Rhinolophus ferrumequinum: one gene and its partners. The protein of the gene in region 4 interacts with the protein of the main gene of each other region in a biochemical or structural test. Links are inferred from orthologs where the notes say so. Each region holds a gene or a part of one and is shown on either strand. Other genes may lie near its edges.

What was found. The genes of interacting proteins can lie anywhere in the genome.
Region 1: the proteins of MAP1LC3C (region 4) and NEDD4 form a complex in vitro, tested with the Homo sapiens proteins (2 studies listed by BioGRID and IntAct). The link is inferred for Rhinolophus ferrumequinum from reciprocal best matches to the Homo sapiens genes MAP1LC3C and NEDD4.
Region 2: the proteins of MAP1LC3C (region 4) and kelch repeat and BTB domain-containing protein 6 form a complex in vitro, tested with the Homo sapiens proteins (2 studies listed by BioGRID and IntAct, with this or other methods). The link is inferred for Rhinolophus ferrumequinum from reciprocal best matches to the Homo sapiens genes MAP1LC3C and KBTBD6.
Region 3: the proteins of MAP1LC3C (region 4) and STK3 form a complex in vitro, tested with the Homo sapiens proteins (2 studies listed by BioGRID and IntAct). The link is inferred for Rhinolophus ferrumequinum from reciprocal best matches to the Homo sapiens genes MAP1LC3C and STK3.

The regions. Positions count from the first base shown.
Region 1 is NC_046289.1:53,009,705-53,017,450, forward strand, and holds the start of NEDD4 (E3 ubiquitin-protein ligase NEDD4), read left to right. Parts: upstream 1-4,672; 5' UTR 4,673-5,045; coding exon 5,046-6,605; intron 6,606-7,746. UniProt on the Homo sapiens protein: E3 ubiquitin-protein ligase which accepts ubiquitin from an E2 ubiquitin-conjugating enzyme in the form of a thioester and then directly transfers the ubiquitin to targeted substrates. Specifically ubiquitinates 'Lys-63' in target proteins.
Region 2 is NC_046287.1:8,914,938-8,922,882, reverse strand, and holds the start of kelch repeat and BTB domain-containing protein 6, read right to left. Parts: upstream 3,075-7,945; 5' UTR 2,807-3,074; coding exon 797-2,806; 3' UTR 1-796. UniProt on the Homo sapiens protein: As part of the CUL3(KBTBD6/7) E3 ubiquitin ligase complex functions as a substrate adapter for the RAC1 guanine exchange factor (GEF) TIAM1, mediating its 'Lys-48' ubiquitination and proteasomal degradation.
Region 3 is NC_046297.1:40,660,147-40,667,500, forward strand, and holds the start of STK3 (serine/threonine-protein kinase 3), read right to left. Parts: upstream 3,075-7,354; 5' UTR 2,909-3,074; coding exon 2,883-2,908; intron 1-2,882. UniProt on the Homo sapiens protein: Stress-activated, pro-apoptotic kinase which, following caspase-cleavage, enters the nucleus and induces chromatin condensation followed by internucleosomal DNA fragmentation.
Region 4 is NC_046310.1:18,307,281-18,314,988, reverse strand, and holds MAP1LC3C (microtubule-associated proteins 1A/1B light chain 3C), read right to left. Parts: upstream 3,195-7,708; 5' UTR 3,121-3,194; coding exon 3,063-3,120; intron 2,961-3,062; coding exon 2,905-2,960; intron 2,730-2,904; coding exon 2,623-2,729; intron 572-2,622; coding exon 412-571; 3' UTR 30-411; downstream 1-29.

The sequences.
Region 1 (7,746 bases), on a different chromosome or scaffold from region 4:
CATTCTTTTACAAAGAAAAACTATCTTCTTTGCACTGATAAAATAAAGGATTGCCAGCTCCTATATAGGCAAAAAGCAAAGTTAAACCTGATTTTATTTTTTTTTAATGATACCGGTAGTTTTGATTTCTGATTTCCTTAAGACTATCTTCAAATCCTATCCTTTTCCTAATTTTGTCTCTTTGGGATCCTATTTCAAACCTCCTTAGCATCTTACAATTATATTTTAAACCTGTTAAGATTTGAACATGAAGGTACAAGAACAGTGTTATGTGTTCAAAGTTTATCAGTGATTAAACAGAAGTACCAAAAAAGTTGAACAGTTTTATTCATTTTTATAGCTAACAAAGACACTGGATTTTTTATTTTTAAAATCTGTTTTTAGCGTTAGACCTCATAACATGTTTTCTTTTCACCCTCAAGAAATGACAGCTATACTAGGAACTGAAGGTATTACAAACAAAATCTATTAATTAGCAAAGATGCTTTTCTGCTGCCAAAGGAGACTTCCTCATTAACTGGCAATCTAACTTTTTAAAGCTGAGTGACAAATGATGATTTGATTTTTTTTTTCTGTTTGTATTTTTGCTTTTGCTTTTACTATAGAATAAGAATTTTTCCCCCCTCTGTCTTTACAGAGCTGTTTTACTTCTAGATGGGACCAGTTAAAATTTAGTGTTGGTGTTTTTTCAACAATGAAATATATATACAAAAAGTAGATATAATATGAATCTTTATTTTAAATAATAAGATAAATATCTGTGTACTTTATTACTCAACTTAAGGACTATAACATTACCAAACTCTTCAAAACCCCCTTCAGCCTTCCCAACAGCATTTCCTTTTCTTCCACTCACAAGTAGCAGCCACCATCCTGAAAATTGTTTATCATTTCTTTGCTTTTTAAAAATATTTTTATCATGTATATATGTATCCCTAAAAAAACCAGAGTTTCCTTTTGCATGTTTTTCAATTTATCAAAATAGTATCACTCTGAATGAATTCCTCTGTGACATGCTTTTTGATCCATGATAACACATTTTCACTGATGCATAATTTTCCATCATCTGCAAATGCCATAAAATCCTAATTTGTGTATTTATCCTCCTTAATAGATACCAGTGTTGTTTCCAGGTTTTTGCTGTTACCAGTTGGTAAACATTCTTGCCATGTTTCCTGATGCACATGTGTATCTGTTAAGATTCGTAATTTGGGGTTGAATTGCTGGGTCATGGTGTTACGGTGTTATTTTTCCTGTTGTTACTGACACCAATGTGAATTTCTCCCTGATTCTTGGGTGCTTCATTGGTGAACTATTTTATGTGAGTTATATGTAATGTTGTCCACAAGGAGGGATAGCTCATGTTTGCACTTTTCACCATAGTTGTCTAGTCGTTTTTGCCTATAACTTCAGCATGGTGTAACTCTTTCTTCGTTGCCAAAATGGATATTTCTCATACTCGGGTGCAGTAACACTCCTTGAGCACATGTAGCGTACTATACATGGTGTCATGATATGTCAAAAGGAAAAAGCATTGCCTCTGATATTAACAATGGGATATTTCTAGGGTTATAAACATGATGTATAAACATTAAAAACAAACAAACAAAACAACCTTTAAAGCTAAAAGCAAGCACAAAAGAATGCATTGATCAGTATATTGCAGATTCCCCAGGGGGCAGGGATTGCTTGTTGAAGACTCAGGGAAGAGTTGATGTTACAGTCTTGAGGCTGAAATCTGCAGGGAAGGCCACCAAGCGGGAAACTCAGGTAGGGTTTCTATGTTGTAGTCTTGAGGCAGAATTGCTTCTTGTGTGGGAAACCTGTCTTTGCTTTTAAGGCCTTTAACTGATTGGATGACACCTACCGTCTTATGGAAGGTAATTGACTTTATTCACAATCTAGTGATTGAAATGTCGATCACATCTCAAAACTAGCTTCACAGCAGCACCTAGACTGGTGTTTGACCAAACAACTGGGCAAAACAACCCCGCCAAGTGATACATACATATTATCATCACCCTGGACTTTAGACTTCAAAGTTCTAGTCAATGATTTGGGTTATCCAGAGCCTAGCCATAGCATGTCAATAATCACATTATTTTCTGTGTAGATAATCAATCACCAAACATGTCAGAATGTGGGGTCCTGAGCTTCAGTCTAATCCTAAGATGTTACCTGTGTCACTTCAGAATATGGAAATCTATAGGACTGGCATAGATTCCTCCCCGATGAGGGTTGCCCCCACTCTACCTCTGCTCCCCTTGGGTTAAGGCTCCTCTTTTGGCATCTGTTTGGCTAAGGGGCTACATTTGCCCCAGGTTCCCCAGGCTCTGCACATGACTGCTGTGACAGCAGTACAGAGCCCGTGTGGTCCCAGACCAGAGTCAGCAGTGCAAACTGTTCAGCCTCTCGAGAATTAAACGCAGACTGGAGAGCGAGCTAGGAAGGGCAGATGATTCTCTTACCTTACTTTTCCTCTTTGCAAAATTTTCAAGCATCAGTCCTTCTTGTCCAGCTGCAGTGCTTTTTGACATTTGTTTAGAAGTAGTAACTGGATCAATTTCTTTTTAAAACCCTGAAAGAAATCATGAGGCAGGCAGAGTGGCTATTCATCTATCCATTCAGTCTCCTCTCTGGTGTTACTTAGTGCTTACGTGTTCCCAACAGGAGCTCGGGGCATCAGAAGAAATGTTTAGTTATGACCCTCACACACTGGAAGCTTAAAATCTAGTTAGAGTTTTAACTAACATGAAACTGATGCCAAATATCTGGCCAAATTCTTGAGGTTCATTATTTTATATTAAGAACTAGAGGAGCTTTGCTTATTAACTGAAAGTTTTAGGCCGCAGGCACGAGCAGTTAGATCTCATTGATTAGCCTGTTAGTAGTGATCCATTCTTTAAATTATCAGACCCCTAACTTAATTTAAGACAGAAAGCAGAAGTCATTTGAAGGCAAAGTGAAAAGATTAGGACTGTTTCTTCTATAAAGAAAAGGCATGATACGGGACTGTTTACTGACATCTGTAAAATCATTAAGGAGAGTATACAAAATCAAAATAGCATAATAATTTTATTACTAAGTTTACAATTATTGCACACATTCTAAAACATAGTACTGTCTCATTCGAGTCAGAAATATCATTCTAGTCAGAAATATAATTTAATTGATACCATATTTCTATTTTTTCTTGTCTTAATAGATTTAAAATACCGTTTAGAAAATTGTGATTGAGAACAGATCTGTCTTATGGGGTTTTCTTTTTTAAACAAAGTGCAAGTATGTATTTTACATATTTGCTTTTACTTAGAGAAAAAAAAAAAAACACCTTACTTAAAAAAATACAACTTGGGTGTAGTACCATGTGGTGTAAACAACTGAACTATTTTACTTTTTACTTTCCTATGAATGAGCCAGTATATATTTATTACTGGAGTTCCAGCTATAAAATTCAGGTAAGGGGTTTAAATATACCCTAGAGTATTATTTAAAAATAAATTTATTTCTTTCAAATAGAGTACCAACCTTGGTCTATGACATTTGGGGCAGAAATTAAAATATTAAACTTTTATTACCTAGTAAACTGAAAATAAAGTAAAGGTTAAATAAATACAAAGCAGAAAAAATATATATACAAAATCACAACCCCTAAAAGGACAAACAGTGTACTGTTCTCTACTGGAGGAGCTTTATCAGCAGTAGTAAGTAATTCCACCTCTAGGGCAGTGCTAGTACTCAAAAATGTAAACAAGTACGTACTTTGTTTATATAAAGAAATATGCAGCATGGTTTGTATTTCTTTATAGATATGAAACAGCTAAATGGATTGTTTCAGTGCACCAGTAGGGGCCAGCAAAGAGCTCTTGGAGTTTTTCAGAACAGAATTGGCATTGAGATATGTTTATTTGATGTGTTAAATCCTTTTTAGACTTCTTTACTTACCACAACACTCTCTTAAGTGAATGAATTGCAGAGACAGTGGAATAAAATATCTTGTGTGCTCAAACTATATTGGGGTATAGTTTTTCTGTCTAATCTGCATATATTTTTAATGGAATGTTTGCTTAGGCTATTTCTTGGCAGAGTTTTAATAGTCAAAATATAAATGGCATCATTTAAAGACTGTACTACTTGGCTGTAAAAGCCTTTAAAATTATAGGAGAAAATGCTTGGTGACAGCTTCTCTTAAACTTTATTTTTTCTCAGACATATACTCAATTTTTGCAATAGTATTAATAGGCTCATTTTGTATTTCTTTCCTTATGCTTTCATTTTGTATAAGAAGTGTTTTGGAATTTAAAATACTTATCTATTTGATCGAATGCTAAATTTTTAATTTACCCCACACTTTTGGTGTGTCCAAATTGCATAACTGTTTGAAGTTATCTGTAAAAATTTTAACAGTCTATATTCCTTTCTACATTAACTAACTTGACTAGATTCCTAGTGTGGCCACTATTTGGAAATTCAATCCTCGATTTGATACTCAATTACATGGGGTTTCATTCCTACCAACTTCCTGTAATTTTATCCCTATGGGTAAAAATATTAGTGGTCAAACTCTGCTGGAAAAAGTATAGGCACAGTGATTCACACAGTTAAATGTTCATTTAGTAGAGCTGGAGTGAAAAAAATACTGTTTTAACTTGAAATGCTAGAAGATTGTTGTTCTTGTGTTACTCATTCATGCAAATTGGAGAAGGTATAATTGAAACAAGGTTGGCAGTGTTTGAGGCAGTGAGCTGCAGCTGAGCTCAGCTTTAAAGGTCGCTGGAAATCAAGTGCTTTGTAAGTGAAGGCATTTTGACTACAAGCAATTCAAGACATTTTGGAAACGTCAGTCTCAGGAATGGGTCGTCTTTTTCTTTCTGAGATATCTGGTATCTAGTGTTTTCCTTTGGATAAAGACTACTACTTAAGAGCTCTTTTAGGCACCACAAATGATTTTTTCTTTCGACGCAGTGCAGCTGCTTCTAGCCTGTCTACCGACAGAGATCTTTGTTATGACTTTCAGCCCTTAACATGTTTGGAAATGAGAACAAATGGCACAAAGCTTACGATTGCACTTTGCAGCCAGAAGAAGCAATACTTATCCTTTGTCAGAAACCTCCGGAGATGACTCGGATAGCAATGTTCCCATGTGCTTCAAAAGACCAACACGGATTTCAACGTCTAACGTTGTTCAAATGAAGCTGACTCCCAGACAGACTGCACTAGCTCCGTTAATAAAGGAAAACGTTACGTCTCAGGAGAGCTCATCTGTTCCTCCACCTGAGAATGTTAATAAAAAGAGCAGCTGTCTACAGATTTCACTACAGCCAACAAGGTACAGTGGATATCTTCAGTCTAGCAGTGTCTTAGCTGATGCTGACGATGCTTCATTTACCTGTGTCTTGAAGGATGGCATTTACAGCAGTGCTGTGGTTGATAATGAACTAAATGCTGTGAATGATGGAAACCTTTTAAGCAGTTCTGCCATTTGCAGTGGTAGCTTTAGTAACTTTTCAACCAGTGAGAACGGGTCTTACAACAGCAACGGTAGTGATTATGGGTCATGCACAAGTATCACAAGTGGAGGTTCCTACACCAACAGTATCATCAGTGACAGCAGCGGTTATACTTTTCCATCAACTGATGATACTTTTCTGGCCGGAAATTTATCTTCTGACAGCACCTCCTATAGAAATGTGCCAAACAGGAATACTACTCCATGTGAAATTTTTTCAAGATGTACAAGTACAATTCCTTTTGTCCAGGATGACTTGGAGCATGGACTAGAGATTATGAAATTGCCAGTGAGCAGGAACTCGAAAATTCCACTAAAACGTTGCTCATCCTTAGTCATTTTTCCCAGGAGTCCTGCAAATACCCCACCAACTTCTCCGACAAATACAGGTATTCTTCCAAGCAAAGGATCCTATCAGACGTCACACCAATTTATTATTTCTCCTAGTGAAATTGCCCACAATGAAGATGGTACTAGTGCTAAGGGATTTCTTTCAACAGCTGTCAATGGACTTCGGTTATCTAAAACAATCTGTGCTGCTGGAGAAGTAAGAGACATACGACCACTTCAGGGGAAGGGCTTATCACAAAAGAAAATTGTTATTGCGAATAATAGTCCAAGTCAGACTGTCTTTGAAAAGTCACCTGATGGATATTCTTGTGTTTCAGTACATTTCACCCAACAAAAAGCAACTACAGTAGATTGTGAAGCAGCAAATAGTGATTGTAGACCAGAGATGTCAGAAAGGAAGCTTAATTCTGATTCAGAGTATATTAAGCTGATGCATAGGACATCTGCGTGTTTACCATACTCCCAAAACGTGGATTATCAAATAAATATTAATGGACAGTTGGAAAGACCAAATTTACAGATAAACAAAAACCGTGCTATTTTACAAAGAAGTATTTCACTGGGAGGGACTTACCCAAATGTTTCCTGTTTATCCAGCCTTAAGCACAATTGTTCCAAAGGGGGACCATCTCAATTACTAATAAAGTTTGCATCTGGAAATGAAGGTAAAGTTGATAATTTATCAAGAGACAGCAACAGAGATTTCACAAATGAACTATCTAATTCTTTGAAGCATTCTTGTAAGGTAAGTTTCCTTTGGTCTTGGTAAATGTTAATTTATATTAGAATAGCTTTATGAAATATTTGGTTATAATTTAGCAGTTTTATATACTTTCCTGGTCCTTACTTACCAAGCAAGTATTTTGTAGTCATGAACTTTATATTTGTAAATCTGATGAACCCCCAATAGTTTTTCACTCTATTTGTTATTTTACTAATGTAGAAAATATTCATTAAAAAAAAACTTTCTGAAGTGATTTAAGCCATAAAACATTTCTGTAACATAAAAACAAGCTTTAAATAATAATTTATTTTATAACACTTTACCTTGATGTATTTTTCCCTCCCCTCAAGAGGCATAATATTTTAATGTGTAACTCCATATTTTATTCCTACTTACAAAAATGCTCATTTATTAGTCTCCTCTCCGTAATCATTGTGAAGTAAAGTAAAATATAGAATGCTTATTTAAAATATTAAGCAATAGAAAGTGTATGTAAAAATGTGAAAATCTTGTTAGAAATGAGCATAGAGAAAACTGTTTTTCTAAAATACATGTATTTATTAGATCATTGTTAAAAACTATTATGCTGCATGTTTAAAGCAGAGGAAAAATAAATGACATTTTCATTTGTATATGCCTTAACCACAGGAATTTTGTTTCCACGGTATTTTTCTTTAGCTACCAGGTAAGACTGCCTTCTGAAATGTAACTTACTCTTTCAACAATATTGAAATCTAAATTTTATATTTTTGAATTTGGTTTCAATTGTTAGGTATTTCCCATAATTTTTTAGTTACCTTATTCATTTGTTATTTGATAATTTTGATTTATTATATTAGTAATTTAACTCTAATAAATCTTAACTAAAACAGTTCTTTATGTAATGTGGCCTTTCCAAAGTATGTTAAGTGTTTTGACCTTAAATAGAGTTTTTAAAATTTCTGAATTTGGAAGGTCTTGCCAGGATATTAAAACATTTTAAATACCAGGAAATTAAATTTTTTTTCTGACTAAACCAATTCTAGATGACATTATTGGAGGAAAAACTTATCTGTTTGTCTGTGTTTAGTCACTCAACGTAACACTCAATATCTATACTAAAGATTTTTTTTTAAACTTCTGGAGAGGTAGCTTAAGGTAAATAAAATATGAAATAATTGCT
Region 2 (7,945 bases), on a different chromosome or scaffold from region 4:
AAAAATATGAAGCTACAAAGGACGTCACTGAATTGGTTTTTTAACCTTTGTAGATGATTGGTGGCACTGCTAGAATGGAATATTTTCCAGATGGAAAATTGGTCACTATCTGCAAATACACATTTTATATTACAAATTTAAAACTGAAATTTCCTTTCAAACAGTAGACTCCTGTTTATTATTATTATTATTATTATTATTATTACCAGTGAGTTTACGACCATTCTGAACAGTATTTCAAATGAAATCAACATTCAGTCACATTAAACATATATGCATTTTTTTTCCTTCTCAAAAAGGGAGAAAACTAAACTAAAACTTAGCAAACTGTATTTAAGTTAGAACACACTTTGTTAAAACCCACTAAAGTTTTGGAAATCTACTACACTGTTCTGAAGAAAAATATACTTTCAAAACCCTATCTAGTAATTCCTATCCAATAAGTTTTCTATTATGAAAATTAAAATTCAAGTTACTGTATTTGTGGCACTAAACAGAATGTAAGATTTAACAGTAGAAAACTAAATCAGCATAATCTAACAAACATACTGAACAAATCAATACTAGACTTTTAGAACAGTAAATTATTAAATAGGTTGTTTTTGGAGTGCTCAAATTCTCTAACATTAAATTACATTAGTTCAAACAAAACCCTTTCTAAACCAAACCTGAAATCAACCAACTGTCTTTTCCTACAGTAAAGGGAACAGGTATTTCTTTAAGATACTTTCCAAAGCAGTGAAACCACCTTAATGTTTCAACCTATGTACAACAAACCCTGCTGATCCTGTGTATTTCACTGAGGTGCTACTTGTACCCACAAATCATCATCAGATAAAGAACTTGAACTTCCTGACTCAGAATCCAGCTCACTGAATCCACCCAAATCCCATTCAGTACTAGATTCACTCGGTATCTCTTCTTCCTCAGTGAGGAAACTCTGACCAGGTTCAAGGCAGGAAGGATAAACACGAGCTGAGAGGCAAAAAAAGTTAGAATCAAATTGGAAGAGGCCTAATGTGGTACCTATATTAATCCACTGGTCCCCACTAATGTCATATTCATACACAGTCACCCGGTTTTTTTTCCACTGTGGGGTGCGAGAGGTGATCAGCAACAATTTTTCGTCATGAGTGATGATCCGATAGTTGCTGGTCTCTGACACCAAAGGGATATTATTAATCTGCCTCCATTCTGCTCGGACTGGATTGTAGACCTTCATGACCGGGATGTCACAGATACAGTAGATCTCGTCATTGAAGACACAGGCTTCCTGAAAGTCATGGCGCTTAAGAGAAACACACTTCAGCCACATGTTGTGGCTAGGGTCATAGCAGAACATGCGCTTGCTGTTGAGAGCATAAAGATAGTTCTGAATTACCATTAAGTCAAAGGAGATAAAAGAATGGGGTAGTGGAGCCACCAGTGCCCACTGGTTTCTCTGAACACTGTAGCATTCCACTTCCTTCAATTTAACTCCAGTAATAGGGTCTCGCCCACCCAAGATGTAAATGTACCCATTAAGGTATGCCACATCCATGCCCTCACGGCAGAGCAAGCGATCTGCAAGTTGCTGCCAACTGTTCTGGGCTGGTTTATACACCCAGAGGTCTTTCCTGGGCTGGGCAGCTAGATAGATGTCATGGTCTGGAGAGACGCAGACAGCTAAGGTGGTAACAGTCCTAGTGTGAGCAAGGCAGGTCAAAGGTGACGGCACTTTGTAAATATTGCCGGAGTAGGGGTCACAGCAGAGAAAGGGATCTCTGGGATGTCCAAAGAATATCACCATCTCCTTGGCACACACACCCAGCCTCTGGGGTGGATTTTCTGCTGCAGAAACAACAGAGCTGCTGCTGCACTCTGGCTTTGGCACCAGAGACTTGTACAGTATGTCACCATATCGCATCTGCAGGGCCCCTTCAATAAGGTCCAGACAGTACTTCTTCACAATGGGCTTGGTTAGCAGCGCTTCCAGGTAATCCTGATCTTCATCAGTGAAGTGTGTCCAGCGGACACACTTGAAGACTTCCGCAGCGCTGGGACCCCGCTCCTTGGGAGCCGCTTCCAACCACTGCACCGCCACGTGACACACCGTTTGCTCACTCTCGATGTTTAAACTATCCAGGCGCAGCACGGCCAGCAGCTGGGCCAAAGTCAGATCTGCCAGGGTCTCCTCCCGAATCGAACCCATCCGGCTGAGCTGCTTGAAGTTGTGGGCGATGAAGGACTGGGCCTGTGAGCGCAGCCTGTGATGGTCGAAGGCGTCGGCGAACTTGAGAATGGCGGTGCAGTTGGCCAGGTCAAGGCGGCGGGCTAGGAAGGAGGCACAGGCTTCCCGCACGTACTCGAGCTGTAACATGTCCGAGGCTGCATAAAGGCGCTGCACGTTGGACTCGCTTAGCGACACGCGACCCGTGTAGCAGTATTCGACCAACACCTCGAAGGACTCGGCATCCACATCGTGCATGGTCACGTTTGCCTGCTGGCTCTCGTACATGCCGCCGGTGAACATGCTCTTGAAGTAGGGACACGCGGCAGCCAGCACGTTACGGTTGCAGGGGAAGAGGCGGCCCGTGCCAGGCCCACTGCCAGGCGTCACCACCTCGATGGTCACATCACACAGCAGCCGCGCGTCGTAGAAGGACTTGAGCTGTGCCAGCAGGGCTGCAGAATGGGCCGTGTCCTTCAGCTCCTCAGGGCCCGCGAAAAAAGCTGAAACCGTGGGCTTGTGAATCCTTTTGGGCCGCCTCCCACCACGGGGACTGGAGAGGCGGCGAGAGCGCGGAGCGTCTTCCCGAGACTGCATGGTGGAGATGGCCGCGGTGCTGAGGTGAGAACTGGTGTAAGGACCAGGCTATGGCTCCTCACCGGACTCTCGCCAGCCCAAAGATAACGGTATCTCCGGAGAGATAGCAGCACGAGTCCATTTACCTAATTCAACCTTGTGCCGCGGTGCCACCTCCCTTTATCGCATACACCGTGCAGACTCACCTTCTTCCCGTTCCGCGCCCTTTCTCTGTCTCGGTTCACCCTCTCTGGACCCGGGAGAACCGAGAGCGCTGCGGCCACCAGCGCTGGCGATACCGCTATGTGTCCAGGAGAACTACGGTGCCCAGGTAGCCTTTCGCGCCTCGAGGCATGCCGGGCCGCCCGATCCACGGACATAGGCAGATAGGCACAAGCCGCTTTGCATGGTGGGAGTAGTAGTTTCAATAGTATCGCGAGATTTCTCGGCCGTTGTTTCAGCTGACCGAATTAGAAATCGCTAATTATCTCCAATTTGGTGTTACGGTAGAATTTTCGGTTAGGAATCCAGATTAGATGCCCGTTCTAGTATTTATCAATTGTTTTTGGTAAACAATTGATAAATACTAGAACTGTCTCCTGTGTTTTTAAAAAATGTGAATAACAATAGTATTTCATAGCGTTATGTGACAATTAAATGAGATAAATTGCATAGGATATATATTATTTTCTGAATACATACGCATTTATTAGTAAAACAATAAAGTACTTACTCAGTATCTATAATCTAAAGGTTCACTAAGTTTTAGCTTTTCTTCTAGCATTTATGAAAAATGAAGTACCCACTCATTTAAAATCATGAGCCTGTAGGAAAAAAATTTAAACCCTGCAGGTTTCTGCAGAGATGCCTTTAAGTTTTGATTTTCTTAAAATAATAGATTTTATTGTTAAGAATAGTTTTAGGTTTACTGGAAAATTTAGCAGAAAGTTACAAGGAACTCCCATATAGTCCACCCCCTCATATTTTCTCCTGTGAACAGCTTGCGTTAGTATACGTAGTTATTACAAGTGATAAACTCATAGTGATATATGTTAAAATATTTATATTAGGGTTCATTCACTCTTTGTGTTCTACAGTTCTATGGGTTCTGAAAAAAATACATATAATATCATGTATCTACCATTACAGTATCATACGGGATAGTTTCACTGCCCTGAAAATCCTCTGTGTTCAATCTGTTTTATGTTTCCTCCTCCCCACTCACTGGGAACCAGTGCTCTTCTTACTGACTATATAGTTTTACCTTTTCCAGAATGTCATATAGTTGGAATCATACAATGTGTACCCTTTTAAGATATCTTCTTTCACTTAGCAATATTCATTTCAGTTCTCTATGTCTTTTCATGGCTTGATAGCCATTTCTTTTATTATTATTATATTTATTATTATTCCATTGTATGGATATACCAGTTTACTTATCCATTCAGCTACTGAATAATATTTTTATTTCCTTTGAATTTCTGAAATAGTGAATAAACCTGCTATAAAATGTGTTGGTTTTCTTCATGGACATAAGTTTTTAACTCATTTCGGTAAATATCAAGGAGTGTGATTGCTGGATGCTAGATAAGACTATGTTTTGTTTTGTAAGGAACTGCCTCCAGCCATCTCTAGGTTTGGTTTTGTTGCTAGCTGTTGTTTAACCTTAGTATTATGGGAAACTCTCAATCCACTATTCAATGCTGTTCAAAATTCCCACCAATTATATGCTTCACCACTAAGGTGAAAATTCAGATCGTTACCTCCAAAAATGGCAGGATTTTACTAAAGACAACTTACAACTCCAATAGCCCCCTTTGGTTCACTTGGAATTTCCCTAAGCCTGTCTATCTACAAGGTGCCCTCAAATCTTGGGATGCTAAGATCTTGGCTCACCAATGGTCAGCTTATTTTGGTTGGTATGAGGAGGCTGAAAAATAAAATGTCTCCAGTCTATTTCAAACTGTACAGTCTCTTAACGACTGTCTCTTTTATCATGAGTCCATAGTCTCAGGCAGGACCCCTAAGCAAATATTCTTTAATCCTTAATCTGGCTCAGATTTACATGTTATTATTAAAGTTTTTATTACATGTTATTATTTAAAGTTTTTCTGGACCACCATAAAAATAGGGAAGAATCTAGTTATCAATTCATACCGATCCTCAGGACATAGTCTCTTGGGACCCATGATTTATAACAACTTGTGCTACCACTAGTGGGTCCCAGAGATGCCACTTTATTGTTTGAAAAGCCAAATGGGCCACTGTTCAAGCAAACAATCAATGAAATAAATCAGAACACCCCCAAGGCTTACATACAGGCTAAAACCACTTTTAGAATTCATTCCCACTGTCTTCCTTCAAAAACTGATTGGTCAAAGATAGGAGATTACAAAATACAAAGAGATCAATCTGTCTTTAACTATGGACATAGTTTAGAAAATGTTCGGAAGGACTACTCTGGTGTCACTCTAAATGACTGAAACCTTTCCACCTTGGTCGCTAGCTTCATTAAGGCTATGACCAGAAATTACAGATATTATTCAAAACATATTAGAAATTAGTGAGGTGATCTTTCTCTCTCTCTCTGAAATACGTACATTAGGTGAACATCACAAGGACTCTGTTGCAGAAAAGGCCAAATCAAAACAATGCAAACTGAAGACTACAACTTAATTTGAAGGAAACATGCCGGGATAATCTGCTCCCTCCAAAACTGAGATTATTACAGATACTGAAAAGGCACGTAAGCCTTGGTATTAACTGGTCTCAAAATGCAAAAGTGAACAAGAGACTAAAAACCAGGGCAGGCTGTTAGCTCAGTTGGTTAGAGTGCAGTGCTCTTAACAACAAGGTTCGATCACAACTACTTGGCCTGGACCTGATGGGTCCTGAAAAAACACACTTAAATAAATTTTGTTTTTTAAGTTAAAAAAAAATCTAAAAAAAAAAAGACTAAAAAACCATCATTTAGGACTTTCCTCGGAGACACTCTCCTTTTTTGGTGAAAAACTAACTCTTAATGTGCAAGGGGTAATAATCATTGCCATCAATGGATATCCCGCCACCATCCTGGTGGACACAAGGGCAACAATTTCACCATTAACACAATTATTCCTCCAGAATTCATATATTGAAGTCCAAAACCCTAGTAATTAAAAGTGTGACCTTATTTGAAGACAGGGTTTTTACAGAGGCAACCAAGTTTACAGTGAGTTCATGAGGGTGGGCCCTAATCCAATATGACTAGTGTCCTTACAAATGGGGGAAATTAGGACATGCATAAAAGGGAGATGATGTGGAGAGACAGAGAGAGAAGATGGACATCTGCAAGCCAAGGAGAAAGACCTAGAACAGAGCTTTCCCTCAGAGTCTTTGGAAGGAGCTAACATCTTGATCTTGGACTTCTTGCCTCCACAAGTGTGGGATTATAAGTTTCTTTTGTTGAAGCCACCACATCTGCAGTATGGAACAAAGTACCATGTCGGCCCTTGAAAACTAATACAAATACCTTTTATTTCCTTCCCTTGGAGTACACATACGATACCTGCCGTGGGACTTAATCTACCACACGACTTGCCTTTCTCTAACTCTCTCTTTGCCTCACTGATACTTCTCATTACACAGCATAGCTTTCTGCTTAGCTCCTCCGTCCAAGTCGTCTTTCTGGGCAGAGATTTACTCTCCAGTAGGATATCAATATTTTTTGCTCTCCCAAGTGCCTCACCCTGGAAGCCCCTGCTTCCACACCTATGTGTGTTTGCCCTTTCATGATTCTCATTAACCAACAGACTTTTCTTGCGCCTGGAAAGCACCCCGAACACTAAAGTACAAACTATGTTAACTAAAACACCTGACTCCCTCTGGGCTGCTCATTCCACTGACATAAGCCAAACCTGGGAGGCCAAAACTCTCGAAGTAGAACTAGACCCTTCCATGGCACTCCCAAGATTTCCATAACATATTTAAAATTAGAAGCCCTCCAAACTTTTCAACCTATGATTCAAGGCCTGATTGACACATCCTGTAATACTCTGGCCTCTCCCCCCACAGTAAAGAATCCAAATGGCAAGGAATATTGGCTAGTCCAACGTTTGCAAGCAATAAAATAGTTAAACTCAGGTTACCTCGTTAAATAGTTACCTCAGGTTACCTAAATGCAAACCTGAGCAATTTAACCTTTCCCTGCAACTCTTTCCTTATCTAATATGCAGGTGACCTTCTCTGCTCACCTGATTATGACAACTCATTTGCTCCAAGCTTCTGTGCACAATGGACATACAGTTTCTAAAAACAAAATGCAATTATTTGGCCCCCTCAAGAGAATTATCTAGGACATGCTATCACTATTGAAGAGAAGACTTTGTCCCCTAAATGTATTAACACCGTCACCAATTATCCATTTCCTGAGACTGAAAGACAATTCTGATGGTTTCTGGGATTATTTGGCTCTTCTTGGAACTGGATCCCTAGCTTTTTCACTATTGCTCTGCCTTATAGGCCAGGACTAAGAAACCACGCAGATCACCCTAATTGGGACTCGCCCTCCATGTCTGCATTTCAATCTGAAAACCTCTGTGTCCTCTTCTCCTGCTTGTGGACTCTCCAAGTACTCACTTCCCTCTCCCCCTTTTATACACACACACACAAAAAGGATACGCACATTCTTGTTTCCAGGATGGTTAGAAGCTTTTCTCTGCAAACAGGCTACTGCCTCAACTGTAGATAAGTTGCTACCAGAATTTTCCTCATGTGGGGATCCCTTTGTTCCTCACTTGTGATAGAGGAATTCACTTCATAGTCTAAAATGTTACTATCTTTACCACCCTTAATCCTCTGGAAAAATAAAACAGGCCAACAATGCTCTGAAATTCAAACTAGCCAAACTCTCAGGGATTCAACCGGCCCCAAGTCTTGCTGGTTTTGCACATAAGGAGCTTAGAAATCACCAGTCTCTGTCTTAACAACAAGTACAAAACTGAATAGACTGAAAAGCAACAACTCTTCTTGGATCCATAAGAAAGGGGAGGTAACGGCAAACAGCTGTTCCCAAAATTAGAGAGACAGTGTCATGCGGGGTGGCATGCAGGTCTCTGGTCCCGCTCCCCACATAAGAACGAAGGATATGGTGAGACCAAAAAGGAACACCCACGGAGCCAT
Region 3 (7,354 bases), on a different chromosome or scaffold from region 4:
GAAGTTAAGGCTTGAGATTAAGTGATGGGAGCCTTGGGTACAAAACTGACTAGTGTGCCCCAACCCTCCCCCCCACAAAAAAAAAGGAGTAGCATGAATGAAGTGCTGCTTTAGAAAAATAAATCAGAAGCCATGTGGAGGATGAACTAAAGCAAACATGAATCATTAGGAGGTTCTGTAGGACAGCAAAAGGCGAATAGAAGGAGGCAAGGCCCTGGGGACCAGGTTCTAGTGCCCTGCCCTACTCCACACAGAGCCCTTCTGCTGCTCAAATTTTTGAAAATTGGACTACAGTGCCCAGATGGAAGGCACTGCTATAAATCAAGCGTGAAGGTCATAAAACCCAGCAATATGGAGGGTAGAAGTACTGAAAATCAAAAGGGGGAGAAATGAATCCATATACTTTTTGATGAATAATTTGATAGGATCTAGTGACAACTAGAAGGGATAATGAAAGAGTGGATCTACATGAAAAATCAAAACTACTAACTGAGCAGCAGCCGCTACTCGGACAGACTTGAACATCAGCAACATAAATGTGACCATGTAAAAATGGCTGAGCCTTAAGGAAGTGCTACTCAACACAGAAAGAAAGAAAAGCAAAGGACCATTCTTACAGGGATTAAGTTAACAAGCAAAGGGGACCAGAAAATTGTAGAAAGAGTTGACCACCACATCATGGAATGCTTAGAAAGCAAGCAAGGGTTTCAAAAAGAGGCATCACTGTACACAATGAGAGGGTGCACAGCCTTTGCAGCCAGTCTGGAGATTCTGGCACCTCCTCCACCTGACCAAGTTATTTAACCTCTCTGAGCTTCATTTAATAAGGAAAACATAAACTAACAACATTATAGAGCACATGATAGAGCACTGTGCTAAGTGCTTCTCACATGACCTCATTTACTCCTCACAACACATTCTTACTGATGAAGAGATTAAATTTAGAAGTAGCATAGTAAACTGCTAACCAGGATTCCTATTTCTTAAGACAATAAAATAAAGGAATGTATATATAAAGCTCCTGGCAAACAGTATGATCTCAGAAATGGTAGCTATATTTCATTATTAGAAGGTAATGATTAATAGGGACAATACAAAAACTCACTATCGGTTCTCTCTCTCATAGCCTTCCATGCGGCAAACTCTCTTAGTGTCCTCATCTACAAAATAGGATTAAACGCCTGTAACCTAACATACTCAACAGGGTTGCTATAAGGATTAAATGATATTATGAAAATGAAAATATTATGAAAAAAAATTTAAGAGATATTCAAATATATGGAATTGTCATTTATCTTTTGCTCTGCAAAAATGCCTTCCTGGATTAACATGTGTCTCTTAAAAGAGCTAAAACTAAGTCTGCTAAATGTGTAACCAGTACTTTAAAAAATGTAAGTTACCATGAAATGGTGAAGTATGCCACCCACCCTTCGCCCTGACCCCTCCAGGTTCTCTAATGTACTTGCAAAGGCAGAGGTTCTCTTACATCTATAATGAAACTGTGATAACAGAGTAGAGCTAATCAGAATAGAGGTCTACTTCAATTTAGAGTTGTTCAAGTTGGCCTTAGGGTGTTAGCTTAGAGGTTCCCCTTACAGTACTTCCAAAACAAAAAAGGAAAAAAAAGTTTCCTGTTTTTTTCACTAGTATTAAAACTGAGTGCCCAATCAATACTAGAATTCTGGTACTTTACAAAATGCCAGAGAAGAATCTATCAAGGGCTGTCTGATAGCAGGTCTCTTGGAAACCTCTCTCTCTCTCTCTCTCTCTCTCTCTCTCTCTCTCTCTCTCTCTCTCTCTCTCTCTCTCTCTCACACACACACACACACACACACACCGCCTCCCTTTTCACCTGAACAGATGGTTTCCAGGCCTCAAGGCTCACATATCTAGTCACCCGATTCACAATGGCTCACAAAGTTCCTACCTTTTTAATTATTTCATGTTCTTGAATATACCACTTTCCATCTAAAGATCTCTACGTATCAAAAATCACAAAACTCATCTTCACAACAGCACTATCTGGGAGAGAGATTAATACCCTTATTTTATAAACTAAAACTGAAAAACTGAAGTTAAATGTTTTTTTAATCCAGCATCACTTAGTTGATTGATTCATTTGGGGGTTGGGGGGAAAGCACATTACAAACTTAAGTAAATGAATAGCCTTGATTTAGCTTTCTAAGATCACTTCAAATATTAGCTCAAACTATCTACTGTGTACTCTTACACTTCCAATACATCAAAGATTAAATATAACAGTAAATACCAAAACATCACTATTTTTATATGCTAAAAGAAAAAACAAAAACAAAAGTATATGGGGGAGGGGTTCTAGTTTAAGATTCCTGTCTTGCATCCATAAATACTTCTGAACTTGAGGGGGCTGAGGAACACCTGTCAGTGCGGCATATCCACAAGTTTTACAGGCTGTGTAGCTATGAATATATAATTCCTTAAACTGTAAATAAACCCGCCTTCTCAAAAAAGTAAAAAGGTAATATTATTTTTTAAATTTGACAAGAAAGTCGACATGGTTTTAAGAAGCCCATTAATTTCCTAGTTTTACGTCTCCTTGGCTTCGTGAACTTGCCACGGGGGAAAACTCTGCCCGTCCCGGGAGTCTGGCCGCGGGGAGCCCGGCAATGCCCGACTTTCCACGCGCGCCAGGCCGGGCGCGGGGCAGGCGACGGTCCGTCTCCCCTCTCACCCCCTCGCCCCGCGCAGAGACGCGGCCGGGCACTGGGACCAGCCTCCCGACCCCCGGTAGGCCCGGCTCCGGGCCCGGCAATCCGGGAGGTTGTCACCGTCCGGCCCGGCCTAGCCGCCCCCGCCCTGCGACCGCCGCCTTCCTCCCTCTCCCCGCTCCCCGCGTTTGTTACCTCTTGGGCGCCGGCGGCTGCTCCATGGCGGCCGGGGGCAGAAGGGACCGGGGTGGGCGGCGAAAGCGGGAGGGAGGAAAGAAGCCGAGGCACTGGCCAGCGGAGCCCAGGAACCACACAGGGAAACTCCAGGAACTCGGAACAACTTTCCCGTAACTCCGCGGCGGATCCCCCTCCCGCTCCAGAGTGCGGCTCCTCCCGCACCGCCCCGCCCCTCAGCCGCAGGTCGCGGTCCAGGGAGGGTGGGCGGAGCCAGGCTCTGGGCAACGAGGGCGGATTCGGCGGCGGAGGGAAGAGCTGGCCTTCGTACAGGGAAGGGGAAAAAAATGAGGAGAAATTGAAAGAGCGAGAGAGCAAGGCCTAGTCAGGACCCAGAGCCTCTGTAAGCTGGCCAGGGGTGTATGCGTTTGAGCTGGCACTCCTCACTTGCCCTCATTGTTTTTGCCCCAATTCGATTTGATTCATTTTTCTAGATTTCTCAAGGATACATCTTCTGCAGCTGTTTGAAGTAGCACTAACTGCCCACGCACGCTTCCCTGTCTAGTTCTGTTTATAATTATTCATTATATTTTCCTCCAGCCATTTGACATTTGTAGCTACAGTTAAGGATACTTAGTACTATATCTGGAAATTCTTTTTGATTTTGTGGACAATCTCCTCACTACATTTCACAATAATTATGTCTAATTACAAAGAAAACAATTAGTGCAGTGAGCTCTCTCAGTGCACCAGATTCAATGCGGGCTGTTCAACTGGGTAACCTGGCAAACTGAACAAATTGTGATGCGTAGAAACGTACTCAAGGAAAGTTTGTTTCCTTCCCTCTTGTCACCCTTTCCTTCCGATTTCTTCCCAAAGCACTTATGCCATTGTAATTTGACCCCTTCCTGCATCCCTGTTGTGTGTATACCGGAACCTTAAATTCTGTCTATAAGTATCTTTGTTATGACCACATACAGCTACTATATAATGGCTTTGCTTTTGACAGAAGTTGTCAAGATGTAGTGTCATATAGAGCTTTTGAAGAATAGAACAAAGAATATGAAGAGACTGTTGAATAAAGAAACTTTATGAACATCAACTCAAACTTGTCTATTAATAGTTATTCCTCTTTTTGCATTATTTTGTTTCACAATGTAATAAACTAACATGATTTATTTTCAAACCATTACATTGCCCCCTAAATTTAGTTATTTTAAGTTTGTAAAGACCATTTATTATTGAAACCTAAGCCAAATTCTGTAAACAAGAGAGATTATTGCAGAATTTTATATTATTTTGTTTATTGAAGATCCACAGTCTAACAGTTCAGAAGTAACAGGACCAAAAACTAAGGTATTAAAATGTTAAAGCTAGGAAGAACCTTTGAAATTTCATTATTCTATCTCTCACTCTCATCCTCACTTCTATGCTCTATTCCCATCTTCTTATATTTTGTTAGAAAAATCTTTCAGAGAAGGTCATTTCACCCTTTTAAAAAAATTGTCACATTTTAAAATGGGCTCAAATTTTCATACTTTAAAATGGACTCTTAATTATGTTACCAACCTTAATCTCCAGGAAGCCTTTCCCAGCCAAGCTCACAACATCATCACCCCACTACTTCCGACACTTTGGTGAAAGAGATGCTTCTTATATGTGACTATAACACTGTGCTGGCTTTTTGTATAGTGCTTATTGCACTGTATTGAAGTTCTGTTTATTTGACTGACATCATAACCCAACTGTGAGTCTGCTGGGAAATGGACTATTTCTTTATTTTCTCTGTCCCTTGCATAGCAAGTGCCTTATACATAGTTAGGACACGGGGTTGGATAGCTTCCTTTTGTTCCCCCAAATTCACTCTCCATCCTTTTCCATCAGTTTTCTGTCCTGAAGGCTAACCTGTATGGCTCACATCACTGAGCTCCCGCCCCCTTGATTTATGGTTGTGTCTGATGATGTTACTGGCACAGGGCCCCTTGCCCCTCTCAGAATAGAAATCAAGAGAGTAAGCAAACAGTTTTGCAGAGAGACAAGTTTATCAAAGCAAAAGCTTGATGCACCAAAGGAGCACACTCCAAAAGAGAATGGATGTGGCTTCCCAAGGCTTACAGGAGCTGCAGTTTTATAGGCTCTTGGGTTCAGGGCCACCTCTTCCTCTTTCCCTTCTTCTTCCCCAAAATATACTGAGGCGTGTCCTACACCTCGCCTGTCCAGTGTACCTACTGCAAATTCAGGTGTTGCATGTCTCATTAGCATTTTAAATTCCACTTATGAGAGTGCTTTTTACTATGATGATAAGGAAAAGTTAACTATAGGACAGCTCTTTTAACTAATGCACACGCACAACCTTAGAAACTTTCCCTAGACCCGCTTCTCTCTCCTCAGATTATGGTTCTGTCTGCTCATTGTTTCTTATTGGCCAGGAATGCTGCTCAAGGTTGTTTTCTCCAGCTGCAGGTTCTGGCTACGTGAGTACCCCACTTGACCACTGACCACAGTGAGGGCCACAGGACTATAAGATCAGGCTATTTATTCCCCTGGTATCCTTCCTGTGAGGTAACCTAGGGTGAAACTCTGCTTGCTTCTTCTTGTCTCTTTGGGCTTATAGATGGTGACTATTCTACTATTCCCTGGATTCCTCTTCTATTCCTTATGTTCCCCTATACCTCAAACCTCCTCAAATGACCCTACCTTCAAAAGGGTTTCCTATGGGAACGCTGACTGAGACACCCATAAAGAAGGTTTGTGGAAGGAGGAGGAATAATATCAGAAAAATCTCTAAGGTCTCCCCTCAATTTGAAAGGGAGAGAACTAACAATTATTGTATGACTTTAATAAGATCAGACACTTGGCCTGCATTATCTCATTAAACCCTTAAAACTGCCTCATTAGGTAGTTGTTTTTACTTTACAGGTGAAAAAACTGAGGTTCAAAAGGGTGAAGAGAGTTACTCTAGGCCAAACAGAAAATCTGCACTGTACCCCAGGCCTTTACAACTGCAATACCAAGCCTTATCCCACTGTAAGTCAGTCAGTAAATATTTACTGAATACTTACGCATGCCGTTCTAGGTACTGGGGATTCATCAGAAAAGAAAATAGACAAAAATTCATGCCCTCATGAGGTTTATATTCTGGGTGGGGAAACATAATAAGGTAAATAAGAAACTAATCAATAATATTAGGTACTAAAAACTGGTGAGGAAGAAAAATAAAATATGGAAAGGAAATATAAAGTGGAGGGGAAGGGATGAAATTTAGATAGGGTGGCTAAGGAAGGCCTTAATGAGAGGGCAACTAAAGAAATTCAGGGGAGAGCCATACAGATTGCTTTAAGAAGAGACTGTGAGGCCAAAGGAAGTACTAAGGCCCCAAGGCCAGTGTGCCTGGCATGTCATGCGTTACTGAATAAAAGGAATTGTTTTTTTCCTGAGTTACTCAGAAAAAAAAAAAGGGCTCAAGTCCCTGTTTTAATTTGCCTATAGAAAGCAGCCTGAAGATTCCAAGAAACAAAGCATAGACATCCTCATTCAACCTACGAATAAGAGGCAGCAAGCCTTCATGAACACATGAAAGCTATAGGAAAATTTGAGATTCAGATAAGGGTCACTCAGCTTCACTTAACTGTGAAAGTAGGGTAATCTGTTTCTGCTTCCAACTGTTCCAATTAGAATCAAGATTAAGTACACGCTTTAATTATACTAGAAAACAGCTCACCAGAATTCTCAACTGAGTGCTCCAAGAGAAATTTGAGAAAAATCTGCAATTTGGGACCCAGTTCCTTTTGAATAACAAAAATGCATTCGTTGTCACAGAATACATACATCACCATGTTTTATGAGGAGAAATATATTAAGATAAAATAAGTTTTTCCTTGTTATACTAGTTGCTGCTGTTTATTAAAACTACATGTTTCTGGGTGGCTGGGTGGCTCAGGTCGTTGTAGCGCTGTGCTCCTAACACCGAGGTGGCCGGTTTGATTCCCACATGGGCCAGTAAGCTCCACCCTCTACAGCTAGATTGTGAACAATGGCTCCACCTGGAGCTGGACTGCCATGGGCAGCTGTGAGTGGCCATGAGCTGCTGTGAGCAGCCAGTCGGCAGCCAGCCGGCAGCCAGCGACCGGCTGGCTCAGCCAGGTAGAACACAATGCTCATAACACCAACATGGGCCAGTGAACTGCGTCCTCCCCAATTAGACTGAGAACAATGGCCCCAATCGAAGTTGGGAGGGGAGGGGGGGAAGGGGAAAAAAAGCAAAACTACTTTTTTTCTTATTTTTAAATTTGAACAATAATACTAATTAACAACTGTCAATCTTTTCTACTATTACCAGGAAGCGTTTGGGACAAAGAGAAAACTCTGGTCTAATATATTACACTATGTGACTTTATTTCCAGAGAAATTCAGAACTATTCCTTTCAACGGTGAGTTTACAAAGCATTTTCTCTAGATTGGTTTCTTTTTTCCAACATAATTTTATAGTTAGC
Region 4 (7,708 bases):
GGGCTCCTCACTTCCAGAGCCAGTCCCATCCGCAGGCCCAGGTTCTCTATGACTGAGCATCCACGGGGCTCCGGCCGCACCAGGTGACACCAAATTCCAGGGTCTGCGGCCTCCACCAGGAAGACACTTCGCCATCGCACAGAACCACCGCATGTGAAGCCACCTCTTACCCAAAATATCATTATTTACAAAACTCCCAGGGGCACCGCGTTTTCCCAGAGAACACAGGGCATGCGCACTAAAGGGGACAGGGCGCCGGCCTACCTGTCCCGTGGGCGCGGCTCCTGCGGGGCGGCCCTGCTCCCGTGGGTCCACCGCGCACAGGAGGAAGCCGCTCGGTTGGTCCCGCAGCTGGAGAGGATGGCAGGGCCCGCCCCGCCGGCTGCGCCATCCCTGGCGCCTCGGGGCCCCTCAGCCGAACATCTCCTGGGAGGCGTAGGTCATGTACACGAAGCCGTCCTCGTCCCGGTAGTCCCTGTAGATCTCGGCCATGGTCATGCTCATGCTGACCGTACTCTTGCTGTTCACTAGCAAGTAAAAGGCTTCAGTGGCCCCGAGGACCATGTGGCTCCTGGCATGGGGAGAGGGGCAGGAAGGGAGAAAGCTAACCTGGTGGGAAAGGGCATGGAGCCAAAGCCTTACCTCCGGTGGCCACTGTAAACACGTCCATCCAAGATGCCCACCTCCCCACTCTGGTGTGTCTCCTCAAAATTGAGAATCACCCAGGAGAGGCCTGTTGAACATGCACATTCCTGGGCTGCAGCCCACAGCATTTGGTTTAGTAGATCTCAGAAGCAGCCTAGGTAGGAATCTGCAGGAGTGTGATGCTCAAGACAGCTGAATTGCTCCCTACTTCTTCCGCAAAAAAGGGCAGGCGTTCCCATCATGGACTAGGAGACACACCAACACAAAAATGCTAATGTGGAAGCCCCTCTTTGCTCTGAAATTAAAGGTAAGTATTTCCCCAGAAGTACAAAGGGGATCCCAATTTCCTTCAGCATCTCATATTACACAGCCTTGGGGGACCTTTAGAAGCAATCTACTGCCTCTCACTGTGCTCTTCCTTCCCCCTGCCCTTCTTCCCCTAACATCAAGGAGATAGCAAAGCAGTCAAATTTGACTGGACACGCTTTACAAGTCAAGGTCAATCTAAGTCCTGATTCACCCTGGAGTAGAGGACAGCATGACAACGTTACACTCAGGTAAAGGCTCAGCCTGGCCTGAAGCGCATATCCATTTGCTCTGCTTGGGGGGGCAGGCACAGCCTGCCCACTTCAGCCTCAGAGGTCAGGTGAGCTAGATCCATGCAGCCGTGGGAGACGGGGGTGGCTGGAGCCTGAGTAATTATACAACCAGCGAATCCCTTCCAGAATAACCCCAAAGATTTTAGCTCACAATTGCATGAGTGGTCTTTGGATAAAAAAGAACTGTTCTGCAACGGGAAGGGGTAGAGCTGGGAGGGAGTGTGTTGCCATTAGCTCTGAAGGAAGCTCTGTTTCCGGAGTCTGTACCTCCATTTCCTGTCTCTGCCATGCTCCCTTGTTATGAGGGTTGTGGCTTACCCCCTGGGGGAGAAGGCCGAGGGCAGGAATTTGTTCTATTCTGTCCACTGCTGTGAACACAGAGCCCAGAGAACACTCAGGACATAGTTGGTGCTCAATAAACACTGTGAACATCAAACGTGCGGATTGGGGTGTGGGCGAGGGGTGGTGGAGAAGACAGGAAGGCCCCTGACTAGGAAGGGGGGAAAGAATGCCTCTCAGAACTCAAAGGCTTGTTGGAGGAGGGAGGTCATCTACTGTTGCATCAAGTTGTTGGGATCTAATTCTTATTCTCGTTCTCCCTCAGTTGCCTGCAGTCACTAAGCCTCCCTGAGGAGAGGAATCAGAATAATCTTACTTATTGAAACAAATAGAACAGAGATTAACATATTTATAATGAATTCTTGAAGAAATAAGCTGCAACAGTTATCGGGTTTCCAAGGGCTGGCCCTTCCAGACTTCACCCTGTGAAGGATTACCTACCAGGTCATGTCCACATTACTCCCCAGTCATTTGTATTGAATCCATGGGTCAGGTGACACCACTTCACTGTCTTCAGCTTTAAAAGTAGTTACTACCTCTTTGCTGTGCCCTAACCCAAGGGAGGAATGTGTTCTGGGGACACCTTTGTGTCCCGCTTCTCAGACTCTGAGCAGTGTGGGGAACATTTGCCTTTTGTAGAGGTCTCCACTCCCCAGGCTCGCACACTCCAACAAGGTGCCGTGTCTCTACTGGGAAAACACTGGCCAGGTTTTCCACACTATTAGGAAGAAAGGATCTTCTGGACTCGTTTTGGAACCAAGACTACTTTAGGAAATTCTTAGAAATGTTAGCAGCTCTGACTGTCTTTAGATTTGTTATCTCAGAGGTTCTCCCACCTGTTTAAAATAGATGAATTCTCAGAGCATCTTTTCTGGGCACTGCAGAACCTACAAGGTGGTGAGTCACAAAGAAAATCCTTTCCCTCTCTTCTTCTGGGACGCCACCCCACCCCCCTATCCTCAATACCAAACAAACTATCAAAGCAAACAGAAGAAGCCCAGGACCATGCACACGTCCCCACGAGCACCGTGTCACCTACCGTATGATGCTGAGGAACTGGGCCACGGTCAGCTCCTGGGGGACCAGGAACTTAGTCTTGTCCAGCGGGGGCAGGAACTTCTCCCTGGAATAGCGCTCCACTACCACCTGTCGGGAGTTTCCGCCCTTAAGAATGTGACTCAGAACTCTCAGTATCTTAGAGTCTTACAACAGGGAGACAGAGAGAGTGGGTTTTTTGTTCCTGTTGTTGTTATTATTATTATTTTTTTTCCCAAGCAACAGAATAGTGTACCCCTTTTCCAAAAGTACAATGGAGTCTTACCGGGATCTTGTTTGGGAACTTTGCCCGGATTCCAGCCACTTCCTCTTGTCTGGTTGCTGTGAATATTTCAAGTACAAAAGAGTAAGGAAACGGCGAGAGCAGTCTGTATCCTTTTCCTTCTCTGTCTGGCAACCCAGACAGCTACCCGAGAACTTTACCTAAGCTCTTCCTCTGCTTGAATGGTCTGAGGCTTGGGCTTTTCTGCGGAGTCTGCATTTTGCTCAACAGCCCTGTCTGTGTCTGGCTTAAAAAAAAAAAAAAAAAAAATCCACAGCCAGGACCTAACTCATTCCTCCAGCTGCTTCCAACCCGCCTGCAGGAGGCTAAAGGAGGCCCTTATGTAGGGCTGTGTGACATCAGCCCTTTCCCTCTTCTTTACCCTCCCCCTCTCCCCCTCGCTGGGCAGGAGGAGGTCAGTTCTGAGGATTGAAACGGGACAGCCACCTGCTTATTGGTCAGAGAAAGTCACTTTGCTCAGGATCAGTTCAAGATAATTTTTTTTGCTGGAGAAATTAGGGTTCATAATAAAATCAGTGACTATGTAATCAAACAGCATAGTTTGAGGCTGAGAACTCTGGAGAGGTGGAACTGCCATTTGCAGAGGACCTTTTCGTACTTCAGTAATGAACCATCTTGAAGGAAGGCCAAGATGGATCCACCTGATGCTGAAATAGGCTATGTAAGTCTCACAACAGTCCTTGCCATTTTTCTCAGCGAGAAAACTATGATCAGAAATGTTAAGGAATTTGCCCAAGGTCACACAGCTAGTAAGAGAGGCAGCTGGGATTAAAACCCAGATTTGGTACCAAGTAGTGCTACACTCCAGTATATTCTGTTATCTTATCTTCTCTGCAATAATGGAGGAAAGGAAGCACAGTTATTACCCCCAAGGTCTCCCTTTAAGAGACAAGGAACAGAAGCCAATAGAAGTTAACTGATTTGCCTGGGCCAAATGGCTGGGAAGACACAGTTCTCGCAGGACCCAGAGTCCAGGGCTTGTCTCTGATACATATGCCATTTAGCTGGACCTTTAGACTCAGAATGAACAGAAGGAGTATGTGTCCTTCCTTCATTGATTTCCCAGCAAGGTCATTCAACAGAGTGAGGAGGCTTCAAATGAACAGAGTGCCGTAAAGGAAGATGATGGTAGGTCGTCCACATTTGCTGGGTGAATCAAAGGGAGCAGCTCTCAGAGCTTTAAGTTAGTGATCAGGAATGGACATCAAGTGATTAAGTGATGACATCACTGAAGAGAGGCGTGGCCTCACCCTCTCCCATTCTCTGTCTCTCTGTCTCTCTATCCTTGTCTCTCGATAACAAAGAGCAGGTATATAGTGCAGTTCTGGAATCTCGTGGCTTTCAAATCCATGATCTCATTGAAACGATTGCCTTGTGGGGGTGGGAAGGGCAGGTAGGATGAGCGTTTTGCAGATCCATGTCTACCCAGAATACACTGAGGTGGGGCCAACCCAGACCGTCCACTTCCCAGGGGTGGCTCCACATCCTGGACCAGGAAAAACTGGTTCCAGGCCTGGCCCTCCCTACTATCACCTCCATTTCTGATCTTGGATAAATTATTTCACTTTACTAAGTATGTTTTCCCTTTTTGCAAAATGATTATTTTTACCTCATTAAAGTGGTTAGTTTTACCTAATTCAGAGTATGTGTATGAGACTTACATGAACTGATTATGTAAAGCAGCTAGTACAGTGCCTGGCACTAAATCTGATGCTCAGTGTGTATGTCTCTCTCCCCACCAGGCCTCTTCAAAGCCCCCACAATCCCAGGAAAGTTCACATGACATCAGGTTTGAAGGCTGAAGGCAATAGCACTGGGTTGGGGACCAGGGAAAAATAACCCCCAGCTGCACTGTTTGGCCAATCGTTATTGGGAGGAAACATTGAGACGTTTCCTACCTGCCCGGCATTTCGCTTTCTCCTCTGGCACGTAGGATTATCATCTCGGCCAAGTCTACTTCTCCGGATGTAATGGGGGTGACAGAATAAAGGACTTGGGAAAATATTAAAATGTGGCAATACTCAGAATGTATCATCATTCAGCAGAGGAATGGCTATATTGTTTCTCTTTTGTTGCAAAGTTTCCTTTTTGAGAAGAGCAGAGTGTCCATGGGTACTGTGGGCCCCATCACGGTCCTTGGAACCTAGTTGGCAGAAGGTAACCAAAGACACATAATGTCGCGCCACACAGGTTGTGTAGGGAAGGAGATAGGAATAGCACTGTGGAAAATGGCTGGTGCCAGAGTGCCTAGGCTTGGTCCAGGAGCCCATCTACTGATATTTTAATAAACAAAACCGACACTGCCCATGATGTACAGTGGGAAATATTGCACTTCTTTGTCCTGCACACAAAGCACATGAAACACGAGCTGGCTGAGGCCATGTTGATTCCCTCTACCCTACACTTTCACCCACTCTCATCCCTCTGTCTGACCCATGTACTGGGAAGGGGGCTGGTGACAGGACACATGGAATCCTGGTACAAAAGAGAGTGAGCTAGTAAAATAAGAGGTGGCAGAGAGTGGGACACTTGCTGTTGGGTTAGGGAAGATTTATTCCCCTCCTCCCATAAACACACCTATGCCCCACCCTCCTTTTAAAAGAACAACCAGTCAACTTTCTCTTGCCTCTTCCAGACATGTGACTGTCATGGAAAGCAAAACTTTGACAACGCACCTGGGCTCTACATCTTGCTTACTTAACTTCTTTGAGCCTCACGGTCCTCCTTAGCAGAATGGACATGCTTTCTCATCTCAGAGAGTCGTGTGGAGATGAAAGGTGGGAATCTGCGTGATGTACACAGAGATATGGGTGACAGTAGGAGCTCATAATATGACGTCTCTCATACTGCTCGTGGCCTGTGGAGCTGGGAGCCCAGCCCCCGCTACTCACACTTCCTGAACCTTTTGCAAGAGTTGGCCGAGCTCAGTCTTTCCACTTAGCTCACTGCCTCTCCGCTCCGTAAACCCCTGCAGTCTGGAGTCTGTCCCGACACTAATGCATGCTCTCAGGAGGTCAGCAATAATACACACCAGCACCTCTTTGTAGCCCTTACCTTATTTGATCTTTCGTCCTTCAGCATGTGGCCGTGTGCATTTTCTCCTTCCAACAACTCTCGTCTTTCAGATTCCAGGATTCCATTTTCTTGGGGTTCTTCTCCCCCCACCGTCTCCTCCCTTCTCCAGCTGCCTCTCCCTCATTTGCAGAGCCAGTTCTCCTCAGAACCCCTAAGGAGATAAACAGAATATCCATTTATCCATAATAAATTCTCATTTCTTATGTGAATAGAAACTGTTCTATGTTTCTGGCCCTGTAGCGATCGGTCACCGCATCCATCGCAGGCAGTTGTGTGTAACAGCTGCATCGTCGCTGTGCCCATGGAGCTTTAGCATGAGCCCCCGACGATTGCCATCCTTCCCTTCTCATTGCTGCCCAGGCCCTTGCTATGTGCAAAGTTTAGAGTCACCAGTGCCACTTCTCCTGTCCCTTGATCTTGGCCTTTCCCTGGGCCCACCCAGTCCTCTTCTTGCTCTATATGCTTTCCGGGGATGATTTGAACCATTGCTGAGGAGTTTCCCAAGGTGACTCAGTTTCTCCTATGTGAGTTAAAATAGGCCTGTCCCTTGGCACCTGTGGGTGTGTGGGGCTCGGGGTGACTAGGACAGATCCATCTTGGTTCCTGTCCTGTCCTATTGTGGCTGCTGTCATTCATCCCTCTTGGCTACAAGCTCTGATTCTAGTGGGAAACTGGGTGGACAGTTATGACACCATGGAAGTGAAATGTGCACGTCTAAAGTGAGAGGCCGCTGCAAGCTGGCGGGCTGAGAAGAAGGAAGTCTTCATCACTGTGTCCACGTCAGGGAGGAGAGAGGTTCTGGAGGCTGCCGCAGAATGTCGCATGACTCCTTCAGTACATTGCCTGGACTTGGCGGCTTCACAGGGTCCATGGCGGGGGGATAGGAGATGTATGAGAGTGGCTCCTGCTGTCGCCTGGAGGCCCAGACATCCCGTCCTGATACGACTCACTCAGGATGAGAAGGGAACATCCAGGAGGAATCTCAAGGCAGAAAGCTGAAATTCAAAGTTATGTCATTCCGTTTTATTTTTTGCTTTTTATCATCAAGTGCCCTTTAAAAGGCTGCCTACCAGTAAGACTTGTTTATCTGATCAACATAAATGATTCTGGTTCCCTGTCTCAAATTAGCCACCGAATTATGAAGCCACTTGAACTCACTGTTTGCTTACTGACCCTGTGAAATGGTTTTAATGCCGCCTGTTCTCTTGTCCAAGAACCAAAGAAACCCACAGCAGCTATTCAGTGACTGAGAGGGAGACCCTGCTTGTCTGCACCCTCAGTAGCACAGAGCCTGGCATTTAGCTCATGTGCTATAAATGTTAGATGGATTTACCTGCATGCAAATTGCTACCACAGAAAAGTGCCCTGTCACACAGCGGTGCTGCCTGAAGCCCTGCATGCAGGAAAGGCTAGCTCACATCCAGACGATGTGTCATTACAATCAGGATGAATCGCAGCCTCTTTCAGCAGTGAAATGAGGCTGATGTCCATTGCCACCGTGTGTTGGGCTCCTTGAGAACTGTGTTTAGAGGGGTTAAAACCCAAAAAACATAATCGAGCATTGCATTCCTTTCTTCATAGGGGAGGTGGGATATGCAATAATTTGCTTTTGACTTTTGAGGGGATATCCGGGCATGCCCAAACCACTGAATCCCCAAAAGCTTCACTGATTGGGTAGAGCTTCCGAGTCACTGAAAGATTTATGTCTCCC